Coturnix japonica: one gene and its partner. The protein of the gene in region 1 purifies or fractionates together with the protein of each later gene. This does not show direct contact. Links are inferred from orthologs where the notes say so. Each region holds a gene or a part of one and is shown in the gene's direction. Other genes may lie near its edges.

Region 1 (3,655 bases):
TATACTTACTGAATTAAAATGCTAGCCTTTTAATTGTCTGTTTCTGCTTAGATACTTGAATATATTCCCATCCTTTGTAAGAAACCCTGGGTTTTGTCTTTAAGTTGGCAAAAATATTTACAAATTGTTCTTTAATGTTTCAGTGAATCTTCTCAGTTGATATAAAAAATAAAAAGTTTATATATATATATATATATATGTTCAATATCATTTTCTGTCAATTTTTATTGTTTTAGAATTGCTAAGCTAAAAATCATAAACTTATGTTGGAAATGTCTGCGCACTATTAAACTTTCTCTTCTTCCTCTTCACAAACAGCTGCTGAAATACAGAGAATACTCAGTCAGCTTGGAACACCACAAGACACACATGAGTTGAGGCAACAGCTGTGAGTATTTCACATGAAAATATTTAATTTCATTGCATTGCAGACAGTTTCCAGGGATATGATTAGATATGGGTTGTTTGGTTTTTTCTTAGGCAAGGTGCTTGTCCTCACTGAGAAAGGCAGGTATAGGGAAATATTTGAAATTTACACGTTGAGGTGCCTTTTTTTATTCTTATTTAATTTTGAATACTTTTGGTGCACTGGTCAGGTGGCATGAACGCATGCGTTGCCTACAGTATCAATATATGTACAAAATTTTTGCTGTATGTTAGCTAAGGGAAAGCAACAAGACTAAAAAGCAATGTTGTTGTTCAGTATCTCTCCACTTCTCAGCGCAGTCTGATGAACCAGTAATATTATTATTTTCTTTTTTAAATCAGCCTCCTTTACCAGATAAAATTCAGCAGCATAAAAGCAAATAACCATTGTGTTGTGCTAACCCTATGGATGGGAAAGTTGCCAATCATTACTGTGGCTATTGCTGCATATAGTTGGAATAAAAAGAAAATGAGTAGCAGGAGGAAATATGTATTGAACCAAAGGCATTATATTGTATCATATATGTATATATATGTATATGATATGTATATATCATATTGTGTGAACAACCAGCTTGCTTCATAATAACCTGAGCTTGGAGCTCATAACAATAGCCAGGTACAACCCACAGTGGATGTCCTGCTGGAGATCGAATGCATAAAGATCAACATATGTGAGTTATGCAGTAGCAGGCAAGATCTAAGCATAATTTCAAAACTAAAAGGACTAGAAACTGCTGTGAATTATAGTCCATTTAGGAAAGTGCTAACATGATAAGTTTCCTTGAGGTTTTCATCTATGGTCATTTCACTGGTCTGAACGTTTTGCCCTTCCCTTCATGTAATGAAGTTGTCTGGGAGAGTTATTTGATTGCTTTCAAGTATTTATGTTGATTTTTGCGAACTGCTTTCCAGTCTGGGAAAGCAGGTAAAAAAAACTTGAGTTACTCCAGGAAAAAAAAAAAAAAAAAAAAAAAAAAAAAAAAAAAAGTGAAATTCATAATGAAAGTGTGTGGTAATAGCAGAAGTGAAAAGAAACATAAAGTGCAAGTAGAAATGATGCTGAACACAAGGCTTTTTAAAGCACAATTTAAGTTTTTAAGCAATTAATTAAACTTTCCTGTTAAGTTCACAGCTGTTGTGTCATGGGAGAATACAAATCTCTGGGTATGCTTCCCAATGACTATCAGGAATTGGCTTTTCATGGATTATGTTCATGGAGTTATATTCAGGTCCAGTGTTCTTCCATACAGGAAAAAACTGTGTCCTTTATACAGTTATTCTGAACTTCTTTAACAAAATAAGAGCCTGAAAAAGATGATGGAAAAGCATCTTTAGTTATTCACAGTAATTGGAACCCTGTTGCTGTGCATTAGGGAAACAATTACAATATTGCAAAAAGAAAAAAGTGGGAAAGGTAAGTAGCTGTGCTGTCACACTGAGAAACATTCCCTCAGTGTCCATGTCACCTGGAATCCACGGTGATCTGTTATGATTTTGCACTGAAGAACAGTAGAAGGATGGCATCATGCAGTTCAGTGAGTGTTTAATACCACTGTGTTTCTGAGAACTGGTAAAACTCCAACAAAATTAGCCAGCGGTCTCTAATGAAACTTTGCATTGTTTTTAGGCAACAGAAACAGCAGTACACAAACCAGCTTGCCAAAGAAACTGACAAATACATTAAAGAGTTTGGATCTTTGCCTGCAACAAGTGAACAGGTATAAAACCAAAGAATATGGCTTAAAGTTTGATTATCATGTTGGCTCATATAGAGTATTTGAGAGACTTCAGTTCTGCATGCCCAGTTTTTGTATCCTTCATCTGGCTTTCAAAGCACTGTTTGGTCACTGAGGACATTTGCATAGTAGGGGCAATTACAACACAGTATGTTTTGCTGTATTCCAGACTTGTTTCAAATATGTTTTTAAATATCCGAATTGAGTTTGACTGAGAAGGCAGGACTCAAGACAGTACATTGTGCCTGTGATTTCAGCTATCTGGGCACTCAGTAAACTGTAGCAGTGTTGCTGCTGAGTTTAACTCATCAGTTTTGAGTGCTTCCAGTGGTCAGGAATTACTGCCTACCTTAACCATGTGGCAGGTGATCAGATCTGTTTGCACAATGTCCAAATAATTTTTGCAGAGCAAGTCTGATCTGCATAACTCAAATGAGCAGATATGCTATGTCTTGTCCACAGGCTTTTCTTTTCTTAAGAGGGATGGACAAGAGCTGTTACTAGAACGATTTGTGCAGCCTCTGAGCTGCTTCATTCCCATATCTGTGAGAAAGACAGGCAGGAGCTTACATGCAAAGTAGCTGTTGTCATTAGCATGCTCTCAACTTTCATCCTTTGATTTCTTATAGTAACAAAATCCAGGACTTAGATAAGGGAAGAGCAATAGGACGCCAGAAAATATGAACACAGCTTATTGCCACTCAGACAATTTTTCTGATCTGTGACTTGTTAGCAAGGAGCGCTTAGGAAAATGAATTGTCCTGAAACACTCATTTCCAATGGCAGGCTGTGTTCCATGCATGCTCTGCCTGTTGTGAACTTCTGGTAGAGTTAGAGTTTGGTCTTACTATATAACCTCTGGTTGAGGCAAAGATGTTTTTTATTCTTTGTCTTGTTGCTGAAAAGTTGGCAGTGGGATATTTTGCTGTTTAATTCTAATCCTTTTATCATGAGCATTTTCATCAAACACAGCACTAGATGAAATACACAGATGTTGGGTTGATGAATGGCAAGTTATGGCCTCTCACAAATTTGGAAGGCAGGGTTGGTATAATGGATATATTTAGGGAAATAAAACTGAGGCTTTCTGATGTGCCTGATATAGCCATTCCTTCCTTGGCATCTTCCTCAAAAAAGTAAAAATAAAAAGACTCGAAAGTTAGAGTAGCTATCTTCCTAACAGATTTTAAGGATTTGAAAGGGATGTGCGCCCACTTCTGGTTGCAGTTCAAAGTACATTTCCAGTGTTTATGTACAATACATGTGGAGAGCTTTGTCCCTGCTCATTTCTTATGCTTGAGCACTATTTCCCTCATTCATTCTGCTTTGCTCATTTTAGATTTCACAGCATCAAAATGTTTCACACTTAACCACAAAGTAAATTTAGTAATCAGGTATCCTTGTGTCAGTGTGTAGTACATTGTATATGACCTGCTCATTTCTCATTTTCAGCTGTTAAATGAACTAAATATGTTGGTTTCCTCTTTAAA
Region 2 (3,655 bases), on another chromosome or scaffold:
GGAATTTTCAAACTAGAAAACAGTTACTATGATTTCCATTGGTACTTCCTAGACATTGGACTTACAGCAACTTCATGACATACAGGAATCTATCAGAGTGTGTTATGAAGCATGTATCTTGTATGATGTTGTGAAAAGCTGGGTCTGAATTAATACCGAACATGATGTTAGCCTTCATGTATGTAAAAGGGATTGCTGACCTTATATATAACTGCTGTTATTAAGATCTGCAGCTGATTTTAGCTATGTTGCTTCTTATTAAGGAAAACTCACATGTGTATTAAACAGCTCACTATGAGCTCTGGGTTCATTATTTTTGTTTCCTGGCACTGGTACTCCTTGTTTTTGTTTCAATTTAGATTGGATGAGGCTGCATTGTCCCTTCAAAAGGAAAAAAGTATTTATAAGGAAATTGAAAATTATCCAACATGCTATAAGGTAAAAATCTAAATGATAATTTCTGGTGGGATATTTCAAGGTTTTCTGAACTAACATAAAGTAGTGGCTGAATTCTGTCTGACATCATGTACCTCTTGATTCAGAGATACATTGATTGCCAGATAAGGAGAATGTGTGGTTGTTCATGCTTCCTTGACCTCTTGTTTTTCACTGCTATAATGTTGATAGGATGCCATTTATCTGTGGAAGCTATCAAAAATACTGAATTATAATAATTGCTATACAAGCCTTCAAATTAATTTGAATAAGCCCAGTTTTCTCTTCTGGAATGTGAGTTGATTTATTTTGAAACTGGATGGGTGAGAATTGTGGATGTTTTTATATTGCTTTTTTCTTTCACAAGGATTGTCTTCTCATCTGCATTTACCTTGATGTCATTTATTCAGGATTCTTAGTAGAAATAATTACTTTGTGTCCTAAATAAGAATTTTTGATTGTTTTGAGTTTGTAATCAACATATGACTTGTGTAGGAAATCACATAAGGAAAAAAGCACGAGCAAGTTTGATGCAAGAGTTCATTACAGCGTTAGAGGAGGTAAACTGTTTCATACCAGCTGAAGATTTGGGGCTTACTACTTTATCATAGTGTAGTTCCAACTGTCTTAATTTCATTCTAAAATTGAATCTGTTTTATGTTTTTTTCCCCTCTGTGTTTCTTGTTTTGTTTAGAAAACTATTGCTCAAGTCTTAGTTCACCTTCACAGAAATGATTATGTTGCTGCAGAAAGGTGTGTGAGGGAAAGCTATAGGTAAGTCTGCCTCATATTTTAAAATCTCAAGCTGACTGTTTCATTAATATAGAACTATTATGAAAAACCAAAGGAAACCTCTGTCAATAAGTTCTGAGCCTCCAAGTCTGTTTACTTGAAGTACAATAGCGTTGTCCGTTAGGTAGCCAGCTGTCAGGAGATTTTTTCACTCTTTCAGTAGTGGGTTCAGCAGTAATTAGCATGTGATAAAGTCAGTCATAAAGAAGCACTTCAGAGCAACAGATGAAATGAGATGCAGATTAGAAGTTCTTTCTGTTTTTTCCTTGTTAAAAGCTGAGAGGAATACTCTTGTGGTTAGAATTCTTTTGTATGTCTCTTTCAAATGGAGCAGAAGTGGGCTGCCTGTTGTAAACAGAATCACAGAATGACCTGGGTTGGAAGGGACCTCAAGGATCATGAAATCCCAACCCCCCTGCCTGGCAGGGCCACCAAACGTCCATAAACAAATAGTTGGGATTAAAAATGAGGAATTCTGGATGTTCTGATTTATTGTAATTATTATTAAAACCTTTCTGTCTTGTTGAAGCCCTTAAAAATGTCTAATTTTAACTTTTCATTGTAGTTTGTGAATGGAAATGTGGAATGCAGTTTTAACGCTCATTAGTAGCATCCTAGTACAATCATTGGAACTGTGTACTATGGTAATTAGACTGAGGAAAATATTCATCTAAAGGTTTGTTGTAACAAAAGAAAAAGGTGTAGTATGGGAGTTACTGCATTTCTGGTTATGTTGATGTAGAACTTGCTCTTGTCATATGTTAAAAGAAAAGCAAGATTTCTTTATTTTTGCATTTTTTCATTAATAGTTGTCTGAACTGGAAGATGATTTAGAAAGTAAGAACTGATCCGTTTTGATAGAAGGGATTGAACAACATAGTCCTCATACATCCAAGAGAAATTTCTGATGTCAAGTCTGGATTAATGTTCCTAGCCACAAACTCCAGAGGCTTTCATGCAGGTCTCTTGTTTCAGCTTTCATTAGGACTTCAGTAACAAAATACTGAAACATGATGTTTTTACTTAAACTATGTTTTAAGTGAAGTGACTTGATCAGATATCTAAGTTAAATCATTATTTTTCAAAGCAATTTTTTGAAGATCTGTCTTGAAACATCTTGGTCATATTTTCTATGTCTTCAGTCTGTATTTTATATAGAAACTGATTACATATTTTTTTTCCTGCATATCAATTGGAAGAAAATCTTATTGACTAGTCAGGAAAAATAGAAAAATTCTAATACTCTTCATAGGATTGTGGTCTGATTCTCAGCAATCTAGTGTTGCTGGAAGTTGAAGCTTATGGATATGATCTGTGTTCCACCTGAGCACCAAGTAGATTGCTGAAATGTCTTAAATGAGCTGTTAATTTCCTTCAGTATACCTGGATTTAATGGAAGTGAAGACTGTGCAGCACTAGAGCAACTTCTGGAAGGATATGATCAGCAAGATCAGGATCAAGTTTCTGAAGTCTGTAACTTGCCTCTCTTCAAATACATGGACAATGATGTAAGTAGGCGGTTCTTGCAGATTATTTGTAATTTTGTGGTAGTTTTTGCTTGCTCAGTTTGAGAGACTTTTTTTCTACTCTAGGAAAATAAGGAGAGAAGGATCTATGTATTTTTTGTGACTTGCTTGGTAATCTTATCTTGTGAACTTTACATTTATTTATTTATTATTTATTTATTTATTTATTTTACTTTACTGCCTGACTTCTGTAGTCTGACACTGCTGTTACATTCTTATGGTGGGAAGGCCTAAGTAAACTAGCAGTTTGTTATCAGTCTGAAGAGTCTAATTGACCAAAACACAGTTTGCTTTTCATTGGTTCTTCATAGGGCCGGAACTTTGTTTTATCTCATAAATACCAATTTGGTGCTATGTGTGCATAAGCATTACAAAATGAATGTGATGGCTTTGTTTGATGTTGGCTTGTTTTTCTTTTTATGCTTATTCTCTAGCAAATCATTAGTTACGGAAAGTTTTTCCATTTTAAGAAGTCCATATTTTTTTTTAATGATCGCACTTTTAACTAATAAGCAGGAAGTACAAGGATAGGAAAGCCATAAAGTAAAGTAGATATTGAACACAGGGGATATTCTAATCTTTATTATTCTTATTATAAATATACTCTGAAAGCTGCATCTATCTGTTTTCTGTGCTGAATGTAATAGTACAGAAAGTAAACTTGTATTTTTATTATTAGTATGCCAAGCTTGGTCTTACCTTGGTGGTCCCGGGAGGTGGAATCAAGAAGAAATCTCCAAATGCTACACAAGATAAAACAAGAGGACCAGCCACAGTGGGCTCTCATGCTGATGAGGAAGAAGATGAATATTCTGGTGGACTGTGCTAGCTGCAAACCTATGTTATGTTAAATATCCAATGTATTTGTGATGCTGAGCATATCCAAAGGTACCAGATTTACC

Evidence for each region. The genes of interacting proteins can lie anywhere in the genome.
Region 2: the proteins of STX7 (region 1) and NAPG purify together in Homo sapiens (affinity purification with mass spectrometry; 3 studies listed by BioGRID and IntAct, counting the BioPlex papers as one, with this or other methods). This does not show direct contact. The link is inferred for Coturnix japonica from reciprocal best matches to the Homo sapiens genes STX7 and NAPG.

Annotation. Positions count from the first base shown.
Region 1 is NC_029518.1:51,543,048-51,546,702, forward strand, and holds part of STX7 (syntaxin-7), read left to right. Parts: intron 1-318; coding exon 319-388; intron 389-2,056; coding exon 2,057-2,147; intron 2,148-3,655. UniProt on the Homo sapiens protein: May be involved in protein trafficking from the plasma membrane to the early endosome (EE) as well as in homotypic fusion of endocytic organelles. Mediates the endocytic trafficking from early endosomes to late endosomes and lysosomes.
Region 2 is NC_029517.1:88,353,822-88,357,476, reverse strand, and holds part of NAPG (gamma-soluble NSF attachment protein), read left to right. Parts: intron 1-359; coding exon 360-438; intron 439-1,129; coding exon 1,130-1,209; intron 1,210-2,605; coding exon 2,606-2,735; intron 2,736-3,432; coding exon 3,433-3,582; 3' UTR 3,583-3,655. UniProt on the Homo sapiens protein: Required for vesicular transport between the endoplasmic reticulum and the Golgi apparatus.